2 linked regions of the Macaca mulatta genome follow. Each later gene encodes a partner of the first gene's protein in a complex. Links are inferred from orthologs where the notes say so. Each region holds a gene or a part of one and is shown on either strand. Other genes may lie near its edges. The genes, in order: PRKAA2 and PRKAG1.

The links.
Region 2: the proteins of PRKAA2 (region 1) and PRKAG1 are in contact, whole or in part, in a crystal structure (PDB 6B1U), measured with the Homo sapiens proteins. The link is inferred for Macaca mulatta from reciprocal best matches to the Homo sapiens genes PRKAA2 and PRKAG1. Residues at the interface, in NP_006243.2 of Homo sapiens: Asp329, Asn330, Ile333, Met334, Ala337, Phe340, Tyr341, Leu342, His366, Pro367, Glu368, Arg369, Met370, Pro371, Pro372, Leu373, Ile374, Asn444, Val446, Thr447, Pro530, Arg531, Leu532, Gly533, Ser534, His535, Thr536, Met537, Asp538, Glu541; in NP_002724.1 of Homo sapiens: His36, Asp40, Leu41, Ile42, Pro43, Thr44, Ser45, Val50, Phe62, Leu64, Val65, Thr66, Gly68, Val69, Arg70, Trp75, Ser77, Lys78, Lys79, Gln80, Phe82, Pro158, Glu159, Ser160, Gly161, Asn162, Lys170, Arg171, Lys174, Phe175.

The regions. Positions count from the first base shown.
Region 1 is NC_133406.1:183,969,946-183,985,787, reverse strand, and holds the start of PRKAA2 (5'-AMP-activated protein kinase catalytic subunit alpha-2), read left to right. Parts: upstream 1-6,397; 5' UTR 6,398-6,428; coding exon 6,429-6,522; intron 6,523-15,842. UniProt on the Homo sapiens protein: Catalytic subunit of AMP-activated protein kinase (AMPK), an energy sensor protein kinase that plays a key role in regulating cellular energy metabolism.
Region 2 is NC_133416.1:56,175,483-56,191,351, reverse strand, and holds the start of PRKAG1 (5'-AMP-activated protein kinase subunit gamma-1), read left to right. Parts: upstream 1-5,777; 5' UTR 5,778-5,830; coding exon 5,831-5,839; exon of another isoform or gene 5,840-6,325; intron 6,326-7,215; exon of another isoform or gene 7,216-7,335; intron 7,336-11,766; coding exon 11,767-11,815; exon of another isoform or gene 11,816-12,214; intron 12,215-13,814; exon of another isoform or gene 13,815-15,295; intron 15,296-15,431; exon of another isoform or gene 15,432-15,651; intron 15,652-15,869. Other genes in the region: KMT2D (histone-lysine N-methyltransferase 2D), read left to right, coding at 1-35, 511-558, 1,730-2,015, 2,227-2,300, 2,427-2,535, 2,705-2,797. UniProt on the Homo sapiens protein: AMP/ATP-binding subunit of AMP-activated protein kinase (AMPK), an energy sensor protein kinase that plays a key role in regulating cellular energy metabolism.

The sequences.
Region 1 (15,842 bases):
TAGTCTACGCCTACATACAAATTAAAAAAAGAAATTGAATTCTCTCATTATTTGTTAAGGTCTTTATTCTTGGAAGGAGAATTAGTTTATTATTTATAGAGCATTTAGAACTTGAAATTACCTAATTTATCTTAAGTTTGTATTAATCATGTCAAAGCTTAGTAGTTAATGTTAACAGGATTGTGCCAACAGCCAAAGCATTAACACCCACTTGAGGTCATTAAAAGTATTATAAAAGGTTTCAAATAATATGTATATTACATCGTTTTGTCAGGGGTTGTTTTAATTCTAATGGACAGCCATAACAGAGATGGTAATCAACTCAAGGTGACATTGGTATCTCCTTACCCAAACGTCACCAGTTCAAAAGTATTCAGTACAGATAGTCACTGAATCCATGCCAGGAGGGAAATAATTGATTTAACTGATCTAAAAGTGTATTTGAGCTTTTTTCAGACAAGCTGTCAATACACACATGAAAGCAAGATTCTAAAAGTGCTGTCAGATCCATAATATTTATACAGCAAAGCAAACAACCTTTGTTATTCCAATTAATGCATCTGCTCATGAAGGAAGTCTGATCCAAAATGTTTTTTTTTCCTCAGCTGCACTGAAAATTATAATGTTGACTCATATCGAAGCAATTTAGAAATGTACTCAGTCAGAAAATGAAAATGGATTATGTTAAGTATAATATTTGTTACTAGGGTACCTGCTAAAAATACCATCTCAAAATCATTTATTACATTTCCTTTAAAGGGTTTCAAGTACTGTCACGCATATCTACTTATCTCTTTGAAGGGGGCTAGGCCTGTAATAGTATTATCTCAACCTTACAAACCAATGATGACAAATATTAGGAGATAAACTGTGTATAGGGAAAATAATGTGGCAAGATCAGTTTGTTGAGATACCTTGGACAGTGACCTACAATACTTTACAGTAATCACTCTATCTTTTTCCCTCTATTGTTCAACTCTAAAACAGGAAGTGGAGTTTGGGAGTTGAATGTCTCAACAACTGAAAAGTACCTTAGTACTTTATAGTCTAGTTCAACACTATTAGTTTTACCAATAAGAAGTGAAATGATCTGTTTAAGGACATACTGCTAAGAGGCTAAGATGGAACATGAACTCAGGATATATATACACATGTACAAATATATACACACAGATACTGTATATACATATAGAGTATATATATGCTAAATTCAATTTAGCATATATACATATATACACATATATACATATATGTATGTATACATCTGTATAGAGATATACATATATACATATATATGTATATATGTATATACACATATTTAATTATATATATAATTTTGAGACAGGGTCTTGCTCAGTTGCCCAGGCTGAAATGCAATGCTGTGATCTTGGCTCACTGCAATCTCTGCCTCCCAGGCTCAGGTGATCCACCCACCTCAGCCTCCCTAGTAGCTAGGACTACAGACGCACACCACCAGCCCAGCTATTTTTTGTAGAGACAGGTTGTCACCATGTTGCCCAGGCTGGTTTTGAACTCCTGGACTCAAGAGATCCACCTGCCTCAGCCTCCCAAAGTGTTGGGATTTCAGGTGTGAGCCACTGCACCAGGCCATGATTTTTTATTCTAAATATTGAGCTTTTTCTACTACCTCTTGTGATCATGAATAATTGTTCAGATAAATCCAACAAGATTGGGATATTCAACAGTTAAAATGATTCGATGTTTCAACAAATACATGACATTTTAAAAAAAGAGTGGGAGGAGAAAACACTGTATATTAAAAGAGATGTATTGACAAAATGGTAAGTGTGACTTTTTTTGATCCTGATTAGCATAAACCAGTTGTAAAACTACATTCCTGAGACAATCAAGGGATATTCACCACAGAGTGGGTATTTCATAACAGTAAGGAATTAGTGTTAATTTTGTTAGATATGATAGTAGTAGCATGGCTGTGTTAAAAAGAAGTGCTTATCTGTTAGACCTATATACTGAAGTATTTGCCAGCGAAATAATCTGGTTATTTACTTTAAAATACTCCAGAAAATAAATTTTAAAAGTGCAGAGATAGATTGGTAAATGATGACAATGTTGATCATCACCGATGCTAAGGTTATTTATGTTACTCTACTTTTGTGTATGTTTGAAGTTTTTCACACAAAATTTTAAAAATGTAATTATTGAGCTTGTACTTCCTATAAAATACCATAAACATCCTTTATTATTCATCGAGTGTCCAACTTTTTTATTTTAAATTGGAGACAACCATAGAAGCCCTATATCATGAATCTATAGACTTCAGAGGTGCTAACTCATGCCTCTCTAACCTCACTAATGACTGCTGTGCTGAGATGTAAAATTATGCTTTGCCTTTAATATGTGTATACATAAGATAAAACTGCACTCTTCCCTGTATTGTTGTTACTTGATTCTCTAACTTAATAACTAACCCTTTCTAAAATTCAATTTAGCAAATATTTTTGGAATGATATACCAGGTTCCACTAGGCCCCAGAAACAGCAAGTGGGATATGAACATATCATTTGCATATATAATATGTAAAAAAATACATATAAATACATATATGTATATATCTATATGTATGTATAATGTATATGATAATAGAATTGATAAATTATGTATTAGCTATATTAAACATGTACAATGGAAAACGTAAAAAGAAACGTAATGAAAAACAATGAATCATGCTTAATGTCAGAATTATCTTTCTATTCTATTTAAAAATTTACAAAATATAAAGAGGTAATCAAAGAGTACACATCCAGAAAATGCAGAAAACAGGTATTATAGAGGTATATTGGATAATTAATTTATAAAAATATTGTTATTTTTCTGGATTTGGGGATGTTTGTGGCATTTGTCAGCTTTTATAAATTTCTAGATAGTTGTTTTTCAGTTCAAATACTTTCATACCCAATTTTGCATTTTTTCCCCCTTAAAGAGGTTCCCCCATACTGAATAAACTTCAGGTGCCACACTCTTTGAATCTGTTTGGATGTCTATGTTTCGTCAGGCACTGTCCCAGGAGCTAAGGATACATCAGTGAACAAAATAGAGAAAAAAGTCCTCTCTTCTTTTGTGAAGTTTAGATTCTAATGGTGAGAAACAGACAAAAATATAATAAGCACGTAAATTAAATAGTATGTTAGATGGCTAGTGCTATGTAAAAAAGTTGAGGAGGGTCAGGGGACGGAGAGTGCAGGGCAGGGAGCATGAGTGAGGTAAAACTGCAATTTAGGCCTGGTGCGGTGGCTCACACCTGTAATCTCAGTCCTTTGGGAGGCTGAGGCAGGAGAATCACTTGAGTCCAGGAGTTTGAGACCAGCCTGGGTGACGTAGTGAGACCCTGACTCTAAAAAAAAAAAAAAGAAAAAGAAAAGAAAGAAAAGAAACTGCAACTTAAATAGGGTGGCCAGAGTAGGATTCACCAAGAAGGTGACTGAGCAAAGACTTGAAAGAATTGGTTACTGATAAAATCAATGGTATCTAGTATAGTATATTAGTTTAGTGATCTTGCATTAATGTACTATTTAGGATTTATTTTAGAATATTTGAAGGTAAAATGACCCCAAAGTTTCAGAAGTAGGAGGGTAAAGCAGTAATAGTTGGACCAGCGCCAAGAACTGAGCACCTCTCTGGGGCACCGGTCTTAGAAACTGGTACTAAACAATAGCGGTGTGAAACCTTCATTGGAAGATAATGAAATGGGAACATTGCATTTACCAGAACATCTTTAGGGGTGAGACCTCCAAGGGGCATGACTCTTAAGGAGATCTAGTCTGATTAACTGTCGGGTTTTCTGTTGCTGAGTAGGAAGAGGCAAATATGGAACCTTATCTGAAGTGTCCAGGACAACAGAGGGCTGAGTGCTGCACCAAGAGTTGTCCTTCTTACCCACTTAGCATTCAACCTTTCCTCTAAATAGAAGTCAGAAAAGCAACAAAAAGTAGTTTAAATACTTACAAATTTGTAGGATATATTATTGGACTGCCCAAGAAATAATAAAAATATGAAAATGGAATCACAACTGTGACCATTTTTAACTTTCTTAGAGCACCATACGTTCTTTTTGTATAGGCAGCTGCAGTATATTAGGCAGACTGAAGGACATGTCAGAACTGGGTATAAGTTCTGACTCTGCCACTTTTTAGCCTTGGGAAAATCAGAAAGGGAAAAACTAAATTTTATCATCTATAAAATGGGAATAATAATCTTTCTTTTATGAAAATTAAACGAGATAATTGTGTTTAAATGAACTTCTTAATCAACAAAGTATCATAGATGTTTCAGATAGTAACAAAACTATAAGGTAGTCCACAATGACTATGTAAGAATCATTGTTATGAAGTGTAAAATAATTTAATTTACAGTATTTAATAATAGTTAAGACAGTATGAAATGCTTTAAATTCTCAATTTACAGTTCGTCTTAATGTAGCTTCAAGAAAGCAATCTAAGACTTTTCAACACCTTTTAACGGGATATTAGAGCAGAAGACATATACATCTCATACGGCAAAAGCAGAATAGGGCTTTTCTTACTCACTTGAATACTGAAGGAATGACCCTTAACCAGATGAAAGCTCAGCACAAAAATAACTGGCTATTTTCTCAAAATTGCCAGCTAGGTAGAGTGATTCCTAAATGATACTTCTTGTCAGCAAGAAAGATGATCTGAAGAATGAACAAAAATAGCCTCTGTTTAACAGCTGTGATATCTATAATTTATAAGCTGTGATCATCTCTCATCAGATTGTCTTGATGTTTGGATGAGAATGAATGTTTGAAATTTCTATATTTAGTACTTCTCAGAAAACAAAATTTTGTTGTGTCCTATTCTTTTTTATCAATAATTTCAATTTACATATAAACAGTGTTCAAGAGACTTCATGTTTGAGGAATGTGACCTTGAAACTCTACTGGCATGCAGTGCTATAAATGTCTGACTAATCCTTAATTACTTATCCCCAAACAGCAATATTTTTTTAGTTTTAAAATTTTTTCTTTGGCAAATAAAAATTGTATATATTTAGTATGTATATGTTTTGAAATACATATTGTGGAATGTCTATGTCAAGCTAATTAACAAACGGATACGAATCTTTGTGTGTGTGTGGTGAGAAGCAAATAAACTTTAATCACTGAAATACGGAACAACATTAAAGAATGGGACAACATGAAGGAAGGAAAGGAGGGAAGGAAGGGCGGCAAAGAAGGAAGGGAGGCAGAGATCATCACTTTATTACCTAATTCTTTGCCAGTCTTTTTTCTTTTTTGGGGGGGGCGTGGCGAGGTCAGTCTTTGAACACGCTACCTAGGCATCATGCTTCTAATTTCCTCTTACCACTCTTTTCACTTCTATATCACATTTATTCTTCCTTTAATATGTGGCCTTGTATTGGCCTCGCCCTTCACAATTCCTCTGTCGCTCACGTATTTTACTTTCTGTGGGCAGAATGTTGTTTGCCTTTCCACGTCTTTCCCATTTCCCTCTTATACAGCTGTATCACATTTCGGTACTATATGTTTATATAAGCGCGTGGTAAAACTACTTATTTATATAAGCATGTGCTAAAATACACTCGAGCAAATACCGTGACTGAGATTTTTTGGAAAACTGTGGGCAAATTAGTTACAACTGAGAGCTCTGGCGGAGAGGGTCTCTTCTATCTACAGGACAAAATAATTGGGAATTACAGAATAAGTAGAGGAGGACAATTCAAGAGCGCACAGAGCTGCGTGCGTTCTCCCTGTGCCGCGACCTGTATCCAAAAGCCTCAGACGAAACTGAGGGGCTTCCTAGAGGCTCTTCTGCCACTGCCCTTTTGACCAGGGCCCTTCCCGCAGTCTCCCCTCTCGCCTCTTCCCTTTTACAGCCCCTCGCTCCCCACACCCGAGGCTCGTCTCTTCTTCCAGTTTGACTTCCACGTCTTTCCATTCCCTAGAAACGGGCCCCAGCCTCACCCCCCATTTTCACCCCCTTCGGTTTTCCTCAGAAAGGGCACCCTGGCTCCCTCGGGACCCTCGCCCACCCCACTTCGCAGCACCTGCCGCATCCGTCCCTCACTCGGACCCGGCGCACCTGGCGCGGCCCCTCCCGCACTCCCGCCCAGCGCCCCGCGTCCCCGGCCCCCGCCGTCGCTGCCTCTGGCTCTGCCGCAGGCGCCTCTCACTCCCGGGAGCCGGCGCCGCGCGCTCCCTCGGCCCCGCCCCGCCCGCCGCTCGCCCGTTGCTTCCCACCTGGGCCCGGCGCGCCCAGCGCCCCCTCCCGGGACCCCGCGCAGCCCCGTGCCCCTCGCGGCTCGGGGTCCGCCCCCCCGCCCGCAGGGCCCGCTGCACTGTGGGTAGGCGGCGGCAGCGGCGGCGGCGCGGAGCGGCAGGCGGCGAAGCGAGGCCGCGCGCGCGGAAGATGGCTGAGAAGCAGAAGCACGACGGGCGGGTGAAGATCGGACACTACGTGCTGGGCGACACGCTGGGCGTCGGCACCTTCGGCAAAGTGAAGAGTTGAGTACGCGCTCCGGACCGCTGTGCGAGCTGCCTGGCTTGCGGGAGGCCGGGTGGAGAGGCGGGAGCCCCGGGCCTCGGGCGGGCGCGGGGCTCGGCGGCAGGTGGAGCGGCCCCGGGCCGCGCGGAGCTGGGGCCCCGGGAGGGTGGCGCGCACCGCCTCGCCTGGCACCGGCGCCCGGTTCCCGCAGGGTCCAGGGAAGGGGGCGGGGGTGTGGGCTGAAGACGGGCGTCCTGGGTTCCAGGTCCCGCGCCCATCCGCCTTTCCGGAGGTTGGAGCAAGGCACTTCTGTCTTCTCTGGACCTCAGTGTCCTCTGCAAAACCGGGAGATTGGACTCTATCCACGAGGCGCCTCCCAGCTCTGAGCCTGTAGGCTCAGGGCGGGGATCATGCACGCTGAGGACTGAGGCGCCGTTTCCTGCCGGGTGCCCTGTTAGGTGCTTTACATGGGATCTCATTGAATCCTACAGTGACTCGGTCAACATGTCCTCACCCTTAAGGTGAGAAAACTAAGACCCCTAGAGATGGAGTAACAAGCCCAAGGTCACACAGAAATGGGCAGTACCAGAGTGAAGTCTAAGATGTCCTCCAATTCTGGTCTTGCTGGGAGGTCCCTGCCATCCCCAGATTCCTTCATGTTCCAGGACTCTCGGTTTTTGGGGGTGACTGTTTGGGGGATGCTCCAGGGGCCAGAGGTTGTGAGTCTTTCTTCCTGGGGTGTTGTTAAACGCTGGAATGCAGCTGGATTGGGTCAGAGGTTAATTAGAACAGAGAGGTCTGAAGGTGGTTGTGTTTGTAAAATGGCTATGGGAAGACTTCTGGGGTAAGGGAGAGAAAAAGTTTCCTTGGTGTTTGGAGGATTGAGGTTGAGGAGGTCAGGACTACTAAGGCATATTCTGCTAAGGTCTGTCTTCATGGAGATAGGATCCCATTTTGGGTGTAGGAAGACAGGCTGCTTTTGAAATGTTATACTTTATTAGAGTTAAGTTAACTAGTAAGAATAGTTGTGTTGAGCTTTCATTTGTTTTCTTTTTTGTTAATTAGTCACATGGGATTTAATTAACCTGCCTTCTCTCCAGAATAGACACAGTTGTTTATTAAAAATACTTTGTTGTAAATCCAGAATTATAAGTGAAACATTGGCTTTTTTTTTTTTTTTTTTTTTCTCTTTGCTGAAGAAATGCTGAGTAGGCAGTCTGGAAATTTTATTCTGAGGTCTCTATTTCCTTGTAAAATTCGTATTTTAACCCCAAGTCAAGGCTGTTGAATGAGTAGAAGAGACTCATTGTTCATTCCTGTGGTAAGAATCAGCTCCTGTTTTCTTGCACGTGTTTAATACCCATTCATTTGTTCAAAAAACTCTGAGCACCTGCAGCGTGGTAGGCACTGTTCTAGGCAATGAGGATACAGCAACGAAAAAACGGATCTTTTCATGGAGCTTTCTAGTAGGGGAAGGCAGACAGTAATCAGAATATGTATGTAAAAGGTATATTTAATTTTACTGAGAAAAATGAAGCAGGGAAAGGAAGATAGTTTTGTGAGGTTGGCAGTTTTCAATAAGGTGGTCAGACAAGGTGGTATTTTTGCAATGACCTAAAAAGTTTGTAAAATTCTTTGCGGTTCTGTGAGGGTTATGAAGTCCTGGGTTATTTTTGAAAGACCTTATAAGTAGAGTGGATAGTTAGAATATGTTTAAGATGAATACAGGACGATCCAGGGATTGTAAGGGATACAGTAAGCCTGTAATGTTACTTGTCATTTAGTATCATTATTAAGGACTATTGTGTTACAACATTATACAGTTGCTCAAGCAAACAGTGCCTTTGACATTTGGACATGTACACTCTCAAAGTTATATAACTTAACCCTATGTCCTTTCAAATTGTGTTAAAAATTTTTGCTGGTCTTTTTAAGTTTGTATACTGTAATCTGAATGTAGAGTAGAATACCCATCAGATCAATCAGTCCATTGTCAAAGACAACTTAAATCTCTTGTGTGTACTTTTGAATTGTTTCCAGGCACTGGCTTCTTGAAATATAAACAGAAAGAACTTTGATTTATGAGAAATCCTTTTCCTGGAGAACCTCTGTCCAATGAACAACCAGTTGAAGGAGTTTTCCTAACACTGTATTAGATCCTCTGAAAAGTGATACTATGGTTTCCTATCCAAGATTATGATCAGTACAATTGTTTAATAAAAATTATAGAAACTGCTACAATCTACAGTTACTCATATAATTCTTCAAGGGACAAGTGAAACAAGTCTTTTTTTTTTTTTTTTTTTTTTTAAACTGTGGCTCATGCCTGTAATCCCAGCACTTTGGGAGGCTGAGGCGGACGGTTCAGTTGAGGTCAGAAATTTGAGACCAACCTGGCCAACATGGCGAAAACCCGTCTCTACTAAAAACACAAAAATTAGCTGAGCGTGGTGGCAGGTACCTGTAATCCCAGCTACTGAGGAGGCCGAGGCAGGAGAATCGCTTGAACCTGGGAGGCAGAGGTTGCAGTGAGCCGAGATTGCGTCACTGCACTCCAGCCTGGGTGACAGAGCAAGACTCCATCTCAAAAAAAAAAAAAAAAAAAAAAAAAGGAAAACAGCTTTATTTAGGTATATTTTATATATGAGATTCATCCGTTCTAAGTGTACAATTCAATGATTTTTACTAATTTTGCCAAATGTTGCAACCATCATTATAGATCAGTTTTAGGACATTTGAGGACACCACAGTAAGATTCCTTATACCCATCACAGTTAATCTCTTTCCTACCCTCAGTCCCAGGAAATCACTAATCTGTTTTCTGCCTGTATAAATTTGCTTTTTCTAGGCACTTCTTCATAAACATGATCATTCAATATGTCATCTTTTGTGTCTAGCTTCTTTAAAAATGCTTTTGAGATTCATGCATGACAGAGCATGTGTCATTAGTTTGTTCCTTTTTATAGTTGAATAATATTCCATTGTGTGGATATACCACATTTTCTCTATACAAAACCAGTTGATGGTCATGGTTTCAAGTTTTGGGCTATTATAAATAATGGCATTACGAATATTCACATGTAAGATGTAAGTCTTTATGTGGACATATGTTTGCACATAGCTTGGGTAGATAACTAGAAGTAGAATTGCTGGGTCATATCATAGTTTTATGTTTTACTTTTTGAGAAACTGCCACACTTTTAAATGGTCACACCATTTTATAACAGTCCCATCAAAGATGTATGAAAGTTCCCTTTTCTGAGTATCTTTGCCAACATTTGTTAGTGTCTGCCTGATTTATTACAGCCATTCTAGTGGGTGCGAAATAGTATCTCATTGAGGCATTAATTTTACATTTTCCAAAGGACTAATGATGTTGAACATTGTCTCATGTAATTACTAGTCATTTGTGTATTTTCATTGATGAAATGTCTGTTTATATCTCTTGTTCATTTTCTAATTGGGTTGCTTGTCATCCTATAAGTTGAGTTATGAGGATTCTTTGTAAATTATGGATACAGATCCTTTAATGGATATATTTCGCAAATATTTTCTTCCAGTCTGTTGTGTCTTTTCATTTTCTTGTGTCTTTTGAAGTATAAAGTTTTGAATTTTCATGGGATCCAATTTATTAGTTTTTAAAATTATTTTATGGACTATGCTCTTGATGTCATGGCAAGAAATCTTTGCCTAGCCCAAGTCTCAAAGATTTTCTTTTATGTTTTCTCGTAAATATTTTATTATTTTAGCCCTTATATTTAACTATGTGATCTATTTTGAATTAATTCTTGTGTATGGTGTGAGATAAGGGTGTAAGACTAACTTTTTGCAGGTGGATAACCAATTGTCCCAGCAGTTTTTGTTGAAAGCAGGTGCATTTTTAATTGCTGTAGATTTTAGACATTGCAAAATGAATTTCTACTAAAAAAGCTAATAAGAGATGATTTAATTTTAAAAGGTTGGCCAGGTGTGGTGGTCCATGCCTGTAATCCTAGCATTTTGGGAGACCGAGGCAGGAGGATCCCTTGAGCCCAGGAGTTCAAGACCAGCCTGGGCGCATAGGAAGACCCTGTCTTTGATTGATTGATAGATAGATAGATAGATAGATAGATAGATAGATAGACAGACAGACAGACAGACAAATGGTTATAAAAACATGGAAATGGAGAAGCAAGGAACATCTTATGTGCTTTCTCTCTTGACTTTTTTTCTTTTTCTTATTTATTTGTTTATGAATTAGCTTTTTTAGGGACTGTGTTGGCCAGGCTGGTCTCGAACTTCTGGACTTAAGCAATCTATCTGCCTCAGCCTCACAGTGTTGGAATTACAAGTGTGTCCTACCATGACCAACTTTGACTGTTATGCTAATTATACATTTAGAAATTTTAAGCCAAGCACAGTGGCTCACACCTGTAATCACAGCACTTTGGGAGGCTGAGGTAGGTGGATCACTTGAGGTCAGGAGTTTGAGACCAACCTGCCTAACATGGTGAAGCCTCGTCTCTACTAAAAATACAAAAATTAGCCTGCTGTGATGGTGTGCGCCTATAATCCCAGCTACTTGGGAAGCTGAGGCAGGAGAATCACTTGCACCCGGGAGGCAGAAGTTGCAGTGGGCCGAGATCGCGCCATTGCACTACAGCCTGGGTGACAGAGTGAGACTCCATCTTAAAAAAATAAAAGAAGGAAATAAAGAAATTATAACTTCAGTTGTTGATATATCAATTTATGGACCAAAGTTAGGTATAAAAAGCAAAAATTGAAAATGGAATAGTTTTAATAGCAGTAGTTTTAATTTGTTTTTTTAAAGTATATGGAAATCTTTGTATTTGTTAGTAAAGCCTTATTTAAAATGTTTTAAATTTTCTCCTTCATTAGTCTGTTGTATTATTAAATTGCTGGGGGACTGTTTTTGGAAACAGATTATATGGGCTGGCAGAGTTTATAAGTAATGCTTTTTATCTACTAAAAATTTTTCTCAGCCGGGCTTGGTGGCTCAAGCCTGTAATCCCAGCACTTTGGGAGGCCGAAACGGGTGGATCACGAGGTCAGGAGATCGAGACCATCCTGGCTAACACTGTGAAACCCCGTCTCTACTAAAAAATACAAAAAACGCCAGGCGCGGTGGCTCACGCCTGTAATCCCAGCACTTTGGGAGGCCGAGGCAGGCGGATCACAAGGTCAGGAGATCGAGACCACGGTGAAACCCCGTCTCTACTAAAAAAATACAAAAAAATTAGCCGGGCGCGGTGGCGGGTGTCTGTAGTCCCAGCTACTCAGGAGGCTGAGGCAGGAGAATGGCGTGAACCCGGGAGGCGGAGCTTGCAGTGAGCTGAGATCCGGCCACTGCACTCCAGCCTGGGAGACAGAGTGAGACTCCGTCTCAAAAAAAAAAAAAAAAAAAAAATCTATATTTACTGTTTAGGTTCTCACTCTGGGTAGGGTAGAACTGTTAGAGAGCTCTTGTAATTAGACTTGTTCATCTCTTATTCAACTTCTCTAAAGGTGATAGAAATTCTAGAATGGTCCTGTTGTTTGTGCTATATAAAGACCGGTTGAAGAAAAAAAATTATAATGCCAATTATTTATTTTAAAAGAAGCCTGCATTTTCAAGATGAGGAGTAGTATATATGTGGTTTATGATTTAAACAAATTTTTTTTCAACATTTTACTCCAGAAATACATTTACCCATATGTGGTTTATGAAATAATTATTCTTCATTGGAATTTTTCACCAAGGGATACTTAGGTTCTTTCTTGTCAGCAAAGTCTCACCAAGAAGTTACCCTTTCTGTTTTTCAAATAGTTACATGAGTGGCCTACAGACTGCTTTCAAGAAATTAAGTAAATATTTTACTAATTCCCCACTTGTTTTTGAGATAACAGGAAGGATAAACCAAACCAAATCAAAACAAAACAAAAAAGCGAAAAGTGTTACCTTATTTTGAAATGAAAATATCAAGTCCTAAATGATAAATCAAATTTCACACAACTGTCCCATCAATTGACGGAACTAAAAGTTATGTCTGTGGTATTTTGGTCCTTTACTAGGATTTGTTTCTGACTTGTGTGCTAGTGTGGAAGCCCTGACCAATTTAAACTCCCTGGTCCTTGTTTTCTTCCCCTCCTAAAGGATAACACTGGAATAGCGAATCTGTGAGGTCCTTTACAAAGCTATCATTAAACCGATTTTTAAAAGATTTAACTCCTCAAAATGGATGTATGTAATTATTCATCCTGGTTAATGAAAATTGGAATTCCTGAATCTGAAATGTAGATGTAATGTAGAACAGGGGAAAAGGAAACATATTTGCAACACTTCAGTGATAAAAGGTACAATTTGATTAAGTTGTTACTATATTCTAATAACCGTACTATATACGCACTTGCTTTTTTTTATTCCCCAGAGTAATCCTCGAAGTTTGGTATTATCTCCATTTAACAAATGAAGAAATTGAGAAACAGATACTTTAAGTAACTTGTCCAAGGTTCCAGTGCTATTAACTGGTAGAGCTAACAATCAAATTCAGGGTTCTCAGACTGCAAAGTCTCTGCTGTATGGACGATAAAGTCAAAATGCCTAGTACGTTCTGAGTTTCAAACCTACAGGGATATAATTTTCTATGTCTGCTCATATTTATCAGAATTGAGAAAATAAGATTTAAATGTCTTTTAGTCCATATTTAGAGATAAATAACGTTTTTTGAAATGTCGTATATAGATGATTAACATTTTTATTTTTATTTTTCCAGAATTTAATTTGATGCCTCAATCTTTCTTATTATAAATGTGCCGAATTCTACCAGTTTTAACCCATGTTTCTTAGAAATACTAGTGATTTCAATGTGTTTACTGATATAAAAGTAATCTTGACTAACGATTGCCAGTAACCTTTAGTAACCAGATGAAAGAGAACTTGTACAAATGATTTGATATTCTAGAAGAAAACGTTGGTATAAGAAGGTATTAGCTCTGGAATTTAATTCCATTTCTACTACTAGTTATCTGACCTTTGGGAAAAACCATTAGACGCTGAGCCTTTGTTTTCTCCTTCGTAATATGACAATGATCATACTTGGCCTGCCTACTTTCTGGAATAGTTATGAAGATCAAATGAGTTGAGGTACATAAAATGGCTTTGGAAAAGATAAAATGCTATACAGATAGATGAGACTGTTGTGGAGATGGTGAGATGCATGGTAATTGTAGGTAAGTTCTGCACCCTGTGTTAGGAAGTACTTACTTTCCGTTGAAATGCCTTCAGTTCTCACACCAACATTGAGATAGAGCTGTAGTAATCTGCCCCTGTTTTGTGGTTGCCTAGGTTGAAGAAAGTTCTTAATGACTACTTCATCTGTGCTTTATGATACTTATTAATGTTTATATTAAAAGCAATATCCTTTATGACTAAGTCATGTAATTTGTTTTTTCCCAAATATGGAAGATGAATAAGAATGAAATGGAACTAATAGTGAAATAAAAGTGAATGTACACACATTCACAGTAAATTGATTTTACTTTTGAAATTATTCAAATTCTAAACAAGTGTTAAATATTGGTTCCAAATAATGAAACTATGTTTCTTCTCAAATATTAGATTAGTGATTGAATTACAATCAGTTGAATTATTCTCTCAAACAATTAGGTAAATGAATTATGTGCTATTCAGGTTTCTTTCGCTGATATATATATATATATATATATATATATATATATATATATATATATATATAATTTATATGATTTTTGAATTGTGTCCTTAATATCTGAATGGATTTCGTTCATTTGGTGTAATCAGTTGCTTGACTTTCAAAGGGTATTTTAAATAGGAAACAATGTTGTAAATGGTAGCTAGTTTCCGAGTATGTCCACAAAGGCAGCATGATATAGTATATATACTCTCTGTAGTGTGTTGGACTTAGAAGACCTGGGGTGGAACCTTTGTTTTGTCATAAACCAGCCATGTGGTCAAACTCAATCTAAAAAAGGGAATAATACCATATGTTCTCTTCTAGTGTTGTGAGAAGTACATGAGAAAATGTAGGTAGATGAAAAAGCACTCAGAATTACTTATGTACTTTTGTGTATGTAGACACCATTATGTACTTAAACCCACAATTAGCTGAACTATGAGAATAATCTGTGATCTGGTTCTGAGACCAGAAATTTATTAATGAGAGAGAGGGAAGAATTCACTACCTCCTGTCTTGTTTTACTCGAGTCTTCTTTCTGCAAATGAATATGTTCAGGAACCTCTAATTCTCCAGAAGCTGCTCACTTTTCACCCTCTCCTGTATATCACTTGGAAGACATATACACAAACACATTATATGTATTTTGTATACATATATATGTATGTATGTATTCCAGATCCCATGATATCCCTCATAGAAACTCTTGGAGGAAAGAGGCATAAGCTGGAGAGGGGGTAAGTGTGGGCAGCAGATGGCATTTAGTGTGAATGGGTCATTTTAAAGTCATAGTCCACTTGTAGTAGAACCAAAATGAGGCTATACATATATTTTCAGTACAGATAATACACTCTAAAAATGCTTTTCTACCAAAGCATTTTTGGTAAAAAGAGCTAAAAATGCTTTTCTACCAAACTTTCTCTTAACATATCCATATAAATTAGAAAGAATTTTGTAGGTCGAACATACATTGAGGTAATTACCTCAGTTCCATGAACTGTCTCCCTTTTTCATGCTGACACAACCCTGCTTTATCTTGCTGCTTTTTATAAAAAATCCCAAAATATCCACTTACCTTGTGGTCCATGTTAGCTTTCTTGAAAGCATTTGGTACTGCTTTGTAATGATAATACCACCCCATTTATTCTTCTGAGATTCCTGTGGTTTCCTCAATGATAGGGAAAATATTTTGTAGAGGAAGTATTAATAATTTTTGAAGCCAGGCGGATAATTTAATTTGACCTAGCAGGAAGATCTAATCTCAAATCCTTTAAGAAATAATGAGTAAGTGGCTGGCATAGGACCCTTAAAACATTAAATATGTTATAAAAATGACAGCAAATCTACCTAGTGTATTCATCAGCTACAAATATAAGAGAAATGTAAACCTTAAATCAGGCTTTTATTTTTCTCTGTTATTGAAGTGATTGAAATGCATATGAAAAGCAATGTGTTTATTTTGAAATATGATTAACCTTTTTATTTTTAGTATGGTGTTATTAAGGAAAGAATTTCAGGCAGTTATCTATGCTAATAATAGAAGCCTTCTTCATCCCTTCAAGGGAACAGTATTCTTGCTTAAGTGGTGTCTTATGTTTGGCAGTGTTTGCCTCTGATAAATTTTATGTATTTCTTTGGGTGGTACCTT
Region 2 (15,869 bases), on another chromosome or scaffold:
CGATCAGAGCCTAAAATCCTCACACACTACAAACGGTGAGCTTGTGATGCTGGAGCCAAGGGAGGGTGTGGGTGTTGATAGGGATCCTCTGGTCCCATCATGAGGATTTAGGATACAGATCAGAGTTCTCGTGGAGAAACTGGGGAATCACTCTTAGACCTCCTAATTAGAGGGCACACAGATATTGGTAGGTTATCCTTTTCCTCTTCTCCCAACCTGCTCAGATGCACTTGGGATATAGGACAGAATTATCTCGGGCACCCTGGGGAGGTAATGGGTAAACTGGTGAAATTTTATGAAATATATAAGGGACCTGGTCACCTTTTTCCTCTCCTGTTTTACTTCCAGCGGGAGGGCCTGTGATTCTCCCAAACCTCAGATACCCCATGAGTGCTAGGGTCACCTTCCCTTCCCTGTGAGTGTTGGTGTAAAAAACAAATAGTTAGAGATATAATAGAAAAATAATAAAACCTTACATTTGTATAGCACTTTATACTTTTTTTTTCAAAGCGTTTTCACATCCATTATCTCATTTGATCCTCACAACAACCTTATGAGGTAGGTAGGGCAGGTGGTATGACCCCCATTTTACAGCTGAGAAAACTGAGACCCAGAAAGATTAAATGACTAGGCAAAGATCACACAGCTGGGACCAGATCCTTACCTCTGTGGGTCCTTGTTCTTTCTGTGTACCAGGGACCTTAGTCCTTGGGTAGAGGGAGGCAGAATCTATGGTAGCAGGGCTTTCTTGAAGGTCTTTGGTGGCTCCTAGGCTGTCGTAGAGTGTCAGAGACTCTCTATCCCTAGCCAACCTTGTCCTTGATGCCCTGCAATGGTGGTTTTCAAACTGTGAGTGCATGTGTTCCAAAAAGTCCTCAATCACATAAACTGATGGGTTGAACTTGGCCTTCCCATGCATATCTCTTCCTTCCCCAAATTGGATTAAACCAGAAGCGCTCCATTGTCATCTAGTTTATGTATTGGAGTTCCAGTCAACATTTTGTTAAAGAAAAAAGCAAAGATTTCTGCTAAATAAAAAAGAACCAGAAACATTTGAAAACCACTGCTTTGGGATGGCAAGAATTTGGCTGGTACCCTAGGGTGGTAAAAGGTATCCTGCCAGGCAGCCGTCATTCCCCTGCACTGAGCCATCTGCACAGAGCCCAATGTTATGTCAGAGAAGGGGACAATCTGAAGAAAGGATACCACCTTTAGGCTGTGAGTTCACAGCCAGTTTTAATTCAAATCTAGCCCAGCGTGGTAGGCACAGTCCCCATTTTCAGGGCTTCCGGTATGTGCAGGAGGTAGGATTCAGACATTCAGGCAAACCATCAGCTTAAATTCTAGGCCTAGGCTACTTGCAGAAAACTTCCCAGAGGAGCATGGCCTTGAGAATGGTTTGGCAGGAGAGTGGTAGGAAGTGGGAGATGGGAGAGCAGGCTCAGTGTAGGGGAATTGGTGCCCCCCATCTCCCTCCACACTTCACCCCTCACCCTGGGCTCTCTGTACCACCCAGGGTGTCAGAAGGGTCCCTATAGCTAGTTGCTTCCTCACCAGAGCTGAGACCCAGTTGCCTCTACTCCTTTCCCAAGGCTGCACTTCCAGTGCTTGCCAGCAGCACACGCCCCTAACTGATGTGTTGCACATCCCAGGAGGTGGTGGAGGAGGTGGGTGGTGTGTACTTGGTCTGAGGGCGAGCTGTCTTGTCATGGATTGTATCACCTCCCAGGCCCCATACCCTGAACAGCACCAGCATGTCTAAGGCATATCAGAGCACCTTCACAGGCGAGACCAACACCCCGTACAGCAAGCAGTTTGTGCACTCCAAGTCATCTCAGTACCGGCGGCTGCGCACCGAATGGAAGAACAACGTGTACCTGGCTCGCTCCCGCATCCAGGGCCTGGGGCTCTATGCAGCTAAGGACCTAGAAAAGCACACAATGGTTATCGAGTACATTGGCACCATCATTCGGAACGAGGTGGCCAACCGGCGGGAGAAAATCTACGAAGAGCAGGTATAAGCTGACAGAGGGGCCATTGTGGTGCATAGTCCTCACTCAACCAAGGAGCAAGGGTCAGGATTGGTCATAGGAGGGCAGGAGGAAAGCTGTGGTGGGGAAGGGAAAGGCAGGAGAAATGAAGAACATGAGCCCACTGCCTGAGTCTCCTACGTGATCCCACTCTCTGATACTCTTGTCCCTTCTTCTGCAACCTCTGCCTTTCTAGAATCGAGGCATCTACATGTTCCGAATAAACAATGAACATGTGATTGATGCTACGTTGACCGGCGGCCCTGCCAGGTGAGAGATGACGAGGAAGGAGGGAAATTAATGGTCCCTGAGTAGCACTCTGGGGGATAGACAACAAGGAATCAAAATTTTCCCAAGTTAGTTGCCTGACATCCCTGACTCTGTCCTTCTACCCAGGTACATTAACCATTCCTGTGCCCCTAACTGTGTGGCCGAAGTCGTGACATTTGACAAAGAGGACAAAATCATCATCATCTCCAGCCGGCGAATCCCCAAAGGAGAGGAGGTGAGAGGAAGTATCCTGAGTGAGTGACAAAGCAGCTACTACTCCTTTCACCCCTTCTCTGCCATTCCCTAAATGTGGGTTCCTAGGCTGCACACCTCAGATCGTATCTTCTCTGCCCTCTCTTCTTCCTGTGGGGGCTAGCATTGATTCTGCCCTCTTCTCTTTTCAGCTAACCTATGACTATCAGTTTGATTTTGAGGACGATCAGCACAAGATCCCCTGCCACTGTGGAGCCTGGAATTGTCGGAAATGGATGAACTAAGAAGCTTTGAGGCTACCAGGCAGGGGAGTCCCCCTACCCACAACCTCTTCCCTGAAAGGGTTGAGGGGGAAGAGAGGTAGCAGCCAGAGCCAGGACCCAGGGCTGGGGCTGCCGGCTGACCGGAGCCCCTGGAGCAGGAGGCTGGGGCAGAGGGCCCTAGGCCAAGCCCACCCTGGGCACCAGGGACAACCCTCTTCCCCACCACCGGCCCTCAGGCTGGCATCTCTGCCCCCAGCTCCAGGAGGGGCCAGACAGAAGCAGCCATTGGGCATCTCAGGTTTGAGGGGGATATGGGCCGGGAACTACCCAGAAGCATCTGGGAGGCAGCAGGGTGGGGGAAGAGGATGTGTGGCCGGGCCTCACAGCCCTGCTGCTCCCACTGACCTCTCCGGCCCAACTCAAGGCTGCAAAGAGACTTGACTAAGCTTGACAATCCCAAAGGCCGGGTCCCACACCTGGCCCTGCCTGCCGGGTCCTGCCCCCACCCTCACCCCCATCCCCCTCCCTCTTGATCTGTCTGTTTCCCTCTTTTCCTCTGTGTTTCTGTCTCTCTATGGGTTGTGTTTCCTTGTTTTCCACTCTGACAAATGCAACATGAACGGGAAAGAGGCGCCCAGCTGCCTAGGAGGGCAAGCTGGGCAAGCCGGGCAAGGAGACCCCGCACCCACACCTACCTCATTTAAGTGTTGGATTTTTTGCTGTTTTGAAATGTGAGACCCTCTCCAAGCCCCCTACTGCCCCAACCCTCTCCCCCACCTCACTGCCCTCTTCTGAGTGGGTGGAAGAGGGGGTAGGAGGAGGAAGAAAAACAACAACAAAAAATCCATCTTTGTTTTTAATTATGGGCATGGGATGGTGGTTGAGGCAAATGATGATGAAGATTGGGGATGACTGGCCCCTAGTTGCTCTAGGACTTCCTTCTCCATCTGGACATGGGGGCAGGAGGGGGCTAAACCTAGGACCAGGATATCTCTCTCCTGTTTTCCCAACCCCATCATGAGCCCGTTTGCCCTCCAGCCCCTGGACGGGTTGGGTGGGGGGTAGGGTGAGGGCTATCCCTGAGTGGCATGCCCATACCTAATGAGGCAGGGTGTGGCCCGGAGCTCCCACTTTCCCTCAGTCACCAAACTGCTGCTGGTCTGGTGGGAAGGGGTGGTGATGTGGGGGTGGGGAGCTTAGTGTCAGCGAGGGGAGGGTGGGGGGTATTTATCTATTTATACATGGGATTGTACATAGTCTTGTGGGGCATGGGGGAGCCGGCTGGAGGTGAGAACCCTCCCCTCTCCCCCCACCCCCGGGGAGAGCAAATGTAAAACTACTAATTTTTGTGCTTTATATATTCTATATAAATATATCTATTTTCTTTTTACAAAACCAGTTTATAAATGGTAGGGGGGTGTGGGGCGGACACATGGAGCTCCCCTTGTGGGGGGGCCCCCTCCATTACCCAACCTACCGCCCTTTTCCTCACCCCCCACCCCACTCCCCACCCCCTGGCTGTGACTGCTGTAAGATGGGGGTATAGAGGCTGGGCAATTCCCACCCCCTGTTGTATAGTTGGACTATGTTATAACGCACAAAAGAGAGCTGACCCCAGGGGGAGCCAGAGGGTGATGGGTTCCTTGCCTCCCTTTCCTTCCCCTTTCTGCCCAAGCTTGTGCTGCAGTTTAACCTCTTCCTGGGGGTGGGGGTAGGTAAGGGGTGGGTGACACCCCAAACCCCTCTCTGGTAGGGAACCGTGGGGATGAAGATGAAGCTTATATGCAGTTCTCTTCTAGGGGCTGTGGGCAAAGGGCATTTTGTAATTAATATTTTCAAGAATCCGATGTCTGGAGTGTAGGGGTGGGCTTGGTGGTGGTGGACGGGCGGGCCTGCTGGAGGGGGAGCTTGGTGGCTGTTGTGATTTTAGGTTTGTTTTTGTTTTGTTTTGAATTTGGGGAGTTGTGGATTGTTGGGGGTAGGGAGATTTTTTTTTTTTTTTTTTTTTTAAAGCTGCTTCCTCAACTGTTTCAAGCTGCAAATGTTTAAGAGAATAACACCCCCCACTCCCACAGGAACCGCTGTAATTAAATCAGACAGCAGGAAGACTGGGCTGCAGCCCTCAAAGCCACAGCCCTTGATGTTCCTTTTCGGAGAGCAATAGGTCTAGGCTACAGGGAGGGGGAGATTGGCTCCCGTGAGTCAGGCTGTGTTTGGGGCTTGGGCCCTGGGATTGGGAAAAGGGGATGGGGCAGACTTTGTAAGCATATGCTAGGTATCCGATAGTCCTGTAGAATTTAGTGAAGAAACCTTATACAGTTTTTAATTTTTATATAAACTATAACTCAGACCCAAGCTACAAGGTTGGAATTTTGGTTGGTTTTTTTTTAAGTACCCTGCCTGTATAATTGCATCAGAATCCCCCACCCCCCCGTGTTTGTATTTTGGGTTGGTTTACACTCGCACATACTCAATTTTCAGTTTTCCCCTTTACAGTCTTCTCCCCTCACCTCCAGGACCCTCCCCCTTTTTAAAAAATAAATCGCTGACAAGTGTGAATCCCGTGAAGACTTTATTTTGTGTTGTGTGTATCCTGTACAGCAAGGTTGGTCCTTCGTAACAACGGATGAAATGGTTCCCTTTTTTAAAGCGCCCTCTCTCCCTCCACCCTCAGCGCCCCTGTCCTTGGCATGTTTTGTATCAGCGATCATTCTGAACTGTACATAATTTATGTTGCGAGAGGCAAAGGGCAAGTTTTGGATTTTGCTTCTTCCAAGTTTGTTTTTAAACGACAAATAAAAAAAGAACATTTTAAATACAAGCGGCTCCGTCCCGTGACCCTCGCCGTCAGCCGGATCCGTGCGGTCCGAGAGGACCCGGGGGAGGGCGGTTACCGAGGCCCGCCACCGCCGGAAGGGTGGGTTCCACGCCTTCCGCCGTAGTCTGGCGACTGCCGTGACGTGGGCGGAAGTGGCGTCGCCGCACCGGATGTGGGGCGTGGCCTTCCCCAAGAGAGTTTCCTAAAGCGAGAAAACCAAGCCGGCGCCTCTTGCAATGGAGACGGTGAGGAGCGCAGGAGGGCGGTCGGGGGCGCTGTAGAGCCTAAGACCCCGCTTAGGAGACCGGGAGGGCCGGGCAGGGGCTGGCGCTGGTGTCTAGCAAACAAAAAGCAGCCGGGTGTCTGCCCTATCCCGTGACCGTGTCCCTCCGCTTCTTCGTTGGGCGCATCTCCTGGGACTGGGCCGCGCCCCCGCCGCCTTTCCGTACGCGGTACCCTTAGCCCAAGCAGGCAGTGACTCCTGGCCCTCCTTGGAGCCCACGTAAGCCGTGGCAATCTTGGGCTTCCTTTCCTCTTAGCACCTCAAGCCCTTTTAGAGGTTTGAGAGCGCGGGGTTGTGATGCGGCTTTGCTGGGTGAGGCAGGGGGTGTCCAGAGGGATCTCCGCTTGCAGGTAGCTGCTGGACCTCGGTAGTCTTTCTGTGATCCCTGCAATCCCTGGCAGGAGGACATCTGAAGATCTTTATACTGCATCCAGTGAAGTCACATTCCCTTAATAAGACCGAGAATTGAGGTTTGCTTGAAAGAGGAAAACTTGCAGTGTTAGAGGCCGATGTGTCCCTGGACAAGTTTAGGTCATGGCCCGCTCTGCGACTCTAAGCAGGAGTTTTGGCACAGCGCATTCTTGGCGAGCAGGCATTGACCAGTTGTGGCAGGGCCCTGTCACCCTCCCACAGATGCCGCGGGTTGCCTGCTGCATGTTTGCACCCACCCTCACTCTCAGGAGTCTTTTTCTAGCGCTCTGTAACCCCTCCCATACACTTCCCTCTCCACAGTTTTTAACCATGTGTCTTCTTTCAGGCAGAGTAACTCTTCCCATCTTGGTTTTTATCATTTGCTACTGTAGTTATGAAAGGACTGCAGGTTCACTTTGCTTTGGATTACATGCCCATAGTAATTCTTTGCCACACCCTTTCTCTGCCCACAGAGAGGTTGTTTCTTTCAGGTTTTTGAAAAGAAAACCGACCAAAGTACTAAAACGATTCGCAGTTGGTCTCCCAGGCAAGGGAGCCAGTTCTGACTAATCAAGATAATCTTGAACAAAAATAAGGAGTCTAATTCCATTAAATTTAAAATAACATGTCATATTCTACTTACTTGTGAGTGTAGTATGGTTTACAGAGCATTTTTATGTAGATTTTCTAATTTAGCCTTCACACTTTATGTACTGGATTAGGCTCTGGGGTAGAAGTTAAAAAGAGGAAAAAGAAAACAGCCAGGTGTGGTGGCTCATGCCTGTAATGCCAGTACTTTGGGAGGCTAAGGCAAGTGGATTGCTTGAGCTCAGGAGTTCAGCACCAGTCTGGGCAACGTGATGAAACCCTGTCTTGACAAAAACAAAAACACAAAAATTACCCAGGCATGATGGTGGTGGTGCATACCTGTAGTCCCAGCTACTCTGGAGGCTCAGGTGGGAGGATTGCTTGATCCAGGGAGGTGGAGGCTGTAGTTAGCTGAGATCATGCCACTGCACTCCACTCTGAGTGACACAACGAGATCCTGTCTCCAGAAAAAAGAAAAAGAAAACTCCTGCTTTGAAAATGTTCAGCCTAACTGGAGTAAGGGTGAGGGCAAGCCAGCAACAGCTGTTATTTAAAGGTAGACTATAATAAATGCTATCATTAATATGAAAACAAAGGACTGTGACAGAATAGTTGAGAGAAAAATTACTTTGGACCTAGGAGAGGGCACTGCAAATTGAGAGAACAGTATGAGCAAGGGCACTGAAACTGGGGGATGTGGAGAATTGGGGGTGAGCCAGCGGCTTGGTGTTGCTGGCTTTGGATTTTGGTCACAGTGAGAGAAAAGACTGGAAAAGTAGGCTAAGATCAGGTTGAAGGTATTACACACCATGCTAAATTTGAACTTTGTTTTGTAATAGGGGACCCATGGAAGATTTATGAGCAAGTCAGTGAATGTCTTTTAGGAATGTTCATAGCAGCTTTCTGTACATGGACTGAGCTACTTCGGAAAGTAAAGTTTCTTGTTAATGGAGATGAAAGCCCCTTCCAAACCTGAGATGCTTTGGTGAAAGCACGAAAGACAAATTGAAAAGCAGAGAGATATGGGCCAAGGACCCCAATTTAAACAGTCTTGCAGAAGTGAGAGGTAAAAGCCTAAATTAAGGCTGTAAAATTGGCAATGAGAGAGATATAGATCTGAGGCATTTATAACATTACCAGCTTAGCTGATAACTGGTAAGAAGACAGCTGTATAAAACAGAAAAAACAAGATGGGAACTACAGCAAGAATAATAGGATTGGAGGGACAAATGTTTTGTTTCGTATTGAAGCATTTGAGGAGTCTCTGTGACATCTATGGTTGTCAAACAAATAATTGGAAACGTAGATCAGAAGTTTGGAAGAAATTGCGAGTCTGTTTGTCAGATGTAGACTGTGTCTCTGTAATATTTTGTACTTACGTGGTACAGTTGTACTTTCTCAGGTCCCCTATGTTATTAAAAGTAGAAAGGAGGCCAGGCACAGTGGCTTATGCCTGTAATCCCAGAACTTTGGGAGGCCAAGGTGGGCGGATCACTTGAGCCCAGGAGCTCAAGACCAGCCTCGTCAACATAGCGAGACCCCATCTCTACAAAAAAATACAAAAAGTAGCTGGGCTTAGTGGTGTGTGCCTGTAGTCCCAGCAGCCCAGGAGGCAGAAGTCAAAGGATTGCTTGAGCTGGGGAAGTTGAAGATACAGTGATCTGTAATCATGCCACTGCACTCCAGCCTGGATGACAGAGTGAGACCCTGTCTCAAAAAAAAAAAAAAAAAAAAAGTAGAAAGAAGTAGATGTAACTACATAATTCCCCCTCTGATATGGTGAAACAGGCAGAAAGTTAAAAGTCATTATCGGGCTCCGTGGCTCATGCCTGTAATCCCAGCACTTTGGGAGGCCGAGGCGGGCAGATCACAAGGTCAGGAGTTTAAGACCAGCCTGGCTGGCCAGGCACAGTGGCTCACGCCTGTAATCCCAGCACTTTGGGAGACTGAGGCAGGTGGATCAAGAGGTCAGGAGATCGAGACCATCCTGGCTAACACGGTGAAACCCCGTCTCTACTAAAAAATACAAAAATTTAGCCAGGCATGGCGGCGTGCGCCTGTAGTCCCAGCTACTTGGGAGGCTGAAGCAGGAGAATGGCGTGAACCTGGGAGGCAGAGCTTGCAGTGAGCGGATATCGCGCCACTGCACTCCAGCCTGGGCAACAGAGCAAGACTCCATCTCAAAAAAAAAAAAAAAAGGACCAGCCTGGCCAACATAGTGAAACCCCATCTCTACTAAAAATACAAAAAAACTCAGCTGGGCATGGTGGCAGGTGCCTGTAGTCCCAGCTACTTGGGAGGCTGAGGCAGGAGAATCGCTTGAACCCGGGCAGCGGAGATTACAGTGAGCCAAGATCACGCCACTGCACTCCAGCCTGGGTGACACAGCGAGACTCTGTCTCAAAAAAAAAAAAAAAAAAGTCACATATTCAGTTGTATTTGACTCTGTTATGTTGGTATCTGTATCTCTAGTTAGCTATATGTTTCTTTCCTCCCTCTGTAACTTAGTCTTAGGCATATCTGTTCCTATCAGTGTGCATCATTCTTTGAGAATTAAAAAACAAAACAACTGTGAATTATATGCAAAATCCTGTGCTTGGTGGTATGGGGGATACAAAGTATAAGATAGTTCTAGGTTTCCAGGAATTTATAATCTGTTTGGATAGATAACGGACAAAATAAGTATCGCACAGTACAATATATATCATATGATGGGTAAATTCTACAGAAGTAGCTGTTTTTGTGCCTTTGTGTAGATCTTTGTGAGACTCTGATATATCATGTGTTTATCACAGCCCTCTCTCCTACTTACAAGTGATGAGGCTGTTGTTCTGATAGTCCTGCCAAAATGGCAGGCCAAGCTGACAGTCTTATGCAGTCCAGAGGGAAGAGAAGGAGATTATCCCCCTTACTCCCTGCACTCTCCCCTAGCCCATTAAGGGAGAAAAGTTTAGGGCTGTTGTAAACTTCCCTGGTTTAGGAAGTTTGTCAGCCAACCTCCCAGGTTGAAGTTTTTAATGTCATGTTACTACAGAAGCTATGGGGATGAAGTATGGTTTTAAGTTATTTTGGAGATATCACCCAGAGAAAGTGGAGCCAAGACTGTTGATGCTAGCAGATGAAAATTGTTGTGATCCCTTCTGGGTTCCTAAATAACAATGGCATTTCCAAATGTTCCCACTTGAGGGAGCACAGAAATGGTTCTAAGTTTTGTCTAGTCAAAGCACTCTAATCTCAGACTGCCTTGGGAAGGGAAACTTGGAAAACCAGCATCCCCTGGCTATAGCAGCCTTTGTTTGACTGACAAGGGTGCTGAGTGGACTCGAGTCCCCAGTTTCAGAACATTCATGTTCCTTATCCACCTCTCAGTCATTCAGGCTTTGACTGGCTAACAGTCAGCTACAGGGATCCTCCCCAGTTGTGGCCCTCTCTCTACCATGGAGGTAGACAATGGTAGAACCAATGTCTGTGGTTCTAGTGCCTACAAATATGCCTAGTGAGTGTCTGTGTTTGGGGGAAGACAATGCTATCTCTCTGGCTTCCATGTTTTAATAAAGTAGATCTGTGAGAATCTTGTAGGGGTTAGCCCTAAGCTCAGATCTTTAGTCTTAGCTTTTAAGACCTAATGTTTCATTAGGCGGTATAGTGTACAAGAACATGAGCTTTGCAGATAATGCTCATTCCACTCAGAAGTGGATAGAAGTATTTCTGGAAGGCACAATATTGTAGCAGTATTGGTTTCTTCTCTTCTGTGATTCCAGAGAGGTAGAATTTCATCAGAATGGAATAAATACATTCAAAAATTTTATAAAAATGGCTGGTTGTGGTGGCTGATGCCTGTAATCCCAGCACTTTGTGAGGCCGAAGCGGGCAGATCAGTTGAGGTCAGGAGTTTGAGACCAGCCTGGCCAACATGGTAAAAACCCCGTCTCTGTTATAAATATGAAAATGAGGTGGATGTGGTGGCACACGCCTGTAATCCCAGCTCTCAGGAGGCTGAGGCACGAGAATCGCTTGAACCCAGGAGGAGGCAGTTGCAGTGAGCCAAGATCACGCCACTGCACTCCAGCCTGGGCAACAGAGCGCGACTCTGCCTCAAAACAAAACAAACAAACAAGCAAATTTACAAAAATGAACACTGCCAAGATAACCAAACTCTTCATCAGTTATAATAAATTATTTTCTTAGGTATAAGTAGTTTTAAAATTTTTTGTTTTTTCATGTATGTTATTTATTAAAATTTTGATGTTATAAAAAAGCAAACCACAAGCTCTGGAACCAGAAGATAGGTGTTTGAATGCCAGCTCCACTCCTTATCAGCCATGTGACCTTGGACAGCTTGCTTAATGTCTCTTGACTCTCAGAGACAATCTGTGAAAATAAGGCTAATAATAGTACTTACTTCAGGGTTGTTATGAAGATTAAATGAGATCATTATTTCTGAAGAGCCTAATAAGGCTGGGTGCAGTAACTCGTGCCTGTAATCGTAGTGCTTTGAGAGGCCAAGGAGGGCAATCACTTGAGCCCAGGAGTTCAAGACCAGCCTGGGCAACATGGCGAAACTCCATCTCTACTAAAAATACAAAAATTAGCTGGGTATAATGGCGTGCGCCTGTAGTCCCAGCTACTCAGGAGGCTGAAGTGAGGGAGGATCACCTGACCCGGAGGAAGTCAAGGCTGAAGTGAGCTGTGATCACACCACTGCACTCCAGTCTGGGTGACAGAGCGGGACCCTGTCTCAGAAACAGAAAAAAAACAGGGTTGGGGGAGGTGGTGGCTTTATAGTGCTTTAAAGAAAGTCATTATTTGTTCACCAGCCCTTCCCCTAATGTTGCTAGGCTTAAATGGATGGAACCAGGTTAAGCTGAATCTGTTTTCTTGTCTCTCCAGGTCATTTCTTCAGATAGCTCCCCAGCTCTGGAAAATGAGCATCCTCAAGGTAAGTTTACTGAAGAAAGGAAAGTGGGCATGGAAACAATAGCCTGACCCTAACAATGTCTTCAACAATGCTTTTGAATCTCTCCCCTGGGAAAGTCAAAGCAGGGCCAGATAATGGCCAAACCACAAAAATCAGTGACAGTAGTTTGGCAAGATCACCCAGGAATAAATCTTGGGCAGATTGGGGATGGTTAATATCTTCAATTATCAAACCACTTGAGAGAAACTTCTGAGGTACAGGGAAAACTTCCATAGGCAGCTCTGGGCTGGCTAACCATGTTTTAGAAGTCCTGGGTATTTTCTGCGTAGTCCAGAAACAGTGCCACCAGGATTTTATCACCCAGCAAGCTCATTAAAGCCATTGAGTGTACACAAAAAATTATGCAAAGGGCTGGGCGCTGTGCCTTACTCCTGTAATCCCAGCACTTTGGGAGGCCGAGACAGGTGGATCGCTTGAGCTGAGGAGTTTAAGACCAGCCTGGTCAACCTGGTTAAACCCTGTCTCTACTAAAAATACAAAATTAGCCAGGTGTGGTGGTGCATGCTTGTAATCCCAGCTACTTGGGTGGCTGAGGCAGAAATTGCAGTGAGCCAAGATTGTGCCATTGCACTCTAGCCTGGGCAACAAGAGTGAAACTCCATCTCAGGAAAAAAAAAATTAAATTAAATTAGAAAAAGGCTCTTAGAACTAATCTAGTAATAGAAGCACTAAACCTCTAAAATCCAGAGCACAAGGAAGACAATTCCAATGCCGGCCAGTGCCTATTTTATGTTTTTGAGTACATTTGTATTAGCACCAAGGCAGAAACCTGAAACTCAAATTGCCTACATGGACCAAGCAGTGAAGTGAACCACATATGATTATGACAACCTGTAGATCTTGTGTTGCATCTAAAAGAAGGTGACAACTGGACTGGCTATGGTGATTCATGACTGTATTCCAGCACTTTGGGAGGCCAAGGCGGGTGGATCACCTGAGGTCAGGAGTTGAAGACCAGCCTGGCCAACATGGTGAAACCCTGTCTCTACTAGAAATAAAAATATTAGCCGGGCGTGGTGCTGCACACCTGTAATCCCAGCTACTTGGGAGGCTGAGGCAGGAGAATTGCTTGAACCTGGGAGGCAAAGGTTGCAGTGAGCTGAGATCGTGCCACTACACCCCAGCCTGGGGGACAGCGCAAGACTCTGTCTCAAAAAAAAATTACAATTAAGGCAGCTGGGTTGTGGTGGCTTATGCCTGTAATCCCACCACATTGGGAGGCCGAGGCAGGTGGATCACCTGAGGTCAGGAGTTCCAGACCAGTCTGATCAACATCAAAACATCAAAAAAAAAAGGCAACAACTATCTAGGTCTGGTCAATTAAGACCTATTTTTGGCAGATCTTCTGACTTTGAAGACACTAGAAATTTGGATTTTTATGTAAATTTCTAGATTAAAAATTTTTGATTTAAATAAGTCTGGGCACAGTGTAACACCAGCACTTTGAGAGGCCAAAACAGGAGGATCACTTGAGCTCAGGAGTTCGAAACCAGCCTGGATAAGTGAGACCCTGTCTCTACAAAAAATTAAAAATTAGCCGGGCATGGTGGTGTGCACCTCTAGTCACAGCTACTGGGGAGGCTGAGGTGGGAGGATTGCTTGAGCCCAGGAGGTTGAGGCTGCAGTGAGCTGTGATTGTGCCACTGCACTCCAGCCCGGGCAGAGAGTGAGATCCTGTCTCAATTATAAACAAACAAACAGGCCGGGTCCTGTGGCTCACGCCTGTAATCCCAACACTTGGGGAGGCCGAGGCTGGCGGATCACGAGGTCAGGAGATCAAGACCATCCTGGCCAACATGGTGAAACCCCGTCTCTACTAAAAATACAAAAAATTAGCCTGGCGTGGTGGTGGGCGCCTGTAGTCCTAGCTACTCAGGAGGCTGAGGCAGGATAATTGCTTGAACCTGGGAGGTGGAGGTTGCAGTGAGCCGAGATGGTGCCACTGCACTCCAGCCTGGGCGACAGAGCGAGACTTGGTCTCAAAAAAAAAAAAAAAAAAAAGACACCAAGAAAGCCAAATCCAATATATTTGTGGGCCTGTGGCCTGAATGATAGTATTTAACTATCAGTGTAGTGTATGTATCTTCAACTGGTGTCCAAAAACATTTTCTTGGGAGTTTGAATTCTCAAGTTGAAGTAACAATGGTAGGCTTCCAGTTAAAGATGGTAGATTGGTAGATTGGGCTGCGCATAGTGGCTCATGCCTGGTAATCCCAGCACTTTGGGAGGCTGAGGCGGGTGGATCACTTGAGAACAAGAGTTTGAGACCAGCCTGGCCAACATGGTGAAACCCTATCTCTACTAAAAATATAAAAATTAGCCAGGCGTGGTGACACATGCCTGTAATCGCAGCTACTTGGGTGGCTGAGGCATGAGAATCGCTTGAACTCAGGAGGAGGAAGTTGCAGTGAGTGGAGATCGCACCACTGCACTCCAGCTTGGGTGACAGAGCAAGACTCTGTCTCAAAAAAAAAAAAAGATGGTACATTGAATATATATTCACAAAAAGTCCCCTAAAACCATCATAAAGGAAATTTTTTAAAGAAAAAGATACAAACACACCATAGGGAAAACAGGAGAGGAGATAATAGCAATGAATTTTTGGAAGCTGAAAAGCAGACAAAAGAGTGATGAATGACTTAGATCTGAGAAAACTGAATTATAACTAGCAGTGAGAGCCAAGAAGCATTAAGGTCTAAGAAACAGTCAGATCCCAAGACACCCTATCCCATTGAGTGATCGGGTGAGCAACAGTGAGCAACTCCACCTCCCACCTGTGGCAAAGACTGGAAATCTGGCAAGGGACTCGGGCACAGCTTAGGACTGAAGTACTGCACTGAAAACAGGAGCATGTAGTGAACTATACTAGATGCTGAGCCTCCAGCTGTCTTTTCCTTTTCAGTTTCCAGAGCGCTGGCAGAAAAGACTTCACCCTCCAAGCATGAAATTGAATAATCCTTCTCTCCAGAATCCTCTTGAAGGGAAGTTCTAAAATATTTAAGTATTGAATGTTTCCTACCCAAATGATTCGCAGTCAGTAAGGCTCACTTACACACTTAGAGCTTCCACTCAGCTTTAAAGCCTCCACTCTTAAGTTATGGTTTAAGTTTTCCTTTAAACCAGGGATTACCAAACATCTAAAGAAAGGATCTGTGAAAAATGATCCAAACTGCCCCCGACCCCACCCTGGAATGTACCTTTGTTTTACTCTGAAGGCTGTATCTCCCTGGTAAAAAATAAATAAAAATGAAAAAGCAAACTGCCCCTCCCGAATTCATGTACACACGGAAGAAACAAACATGAAAAAAGCAACTGGAAGGAAAAGGGGAGAAGAAAACTTTAATAATATTAATATAACCTTAGGTAAAGGAACATATTTCTCAATACCTGTGAAAGTAGTATATCTTTAAAGAAAACAACAGCCGGGCATGGTGGCTCACGCTTGTAATCCCAGCACTTTGGGAGGCCGAGGCAGGCAGATCACCTGAGGTCAGGAGTTCGAGACCAGCCTGACCAATATGATGAAACCCTGTCTGTACTAAAAATACAAAAATTAGCTGGGCATGGTGGTGTGCACCTGTAATCCCAGCTACTCGGGAGGCTGAGACAGGAGAATCGCTTGAACCCAGGAGTTGGAGGTTGCAGTGAGCTGAGACTGCACCATTGCATTCCAGCCTGGGCAACAAGAGCAAAACTCTGTCTCAAGAAAACAAAAGCAACAACAAAAAACCATATTTCTACCATGAAACAAGTATAGGATACAATTTTTTATAGAAGGAATTTTCAGAAAAGAAAAAGGAACTCTTGGAAATTAAAAATATAATAGCAAAAATTTAAACACAGCTGGAGGTTTCAAAAGTCAACATGAGGAAATTTCCCAGAAAGGAGAGTTAAAAATCAACAAAGTAGAAAATAGGAGAGAAGGTGCAGTGGCTCATACCTATAATCCCAGCACTTTGGGAGACCGAGGCAGGAGACCAGGAGTTCGAGACCAGCTCAGCAACACAGCAAGACC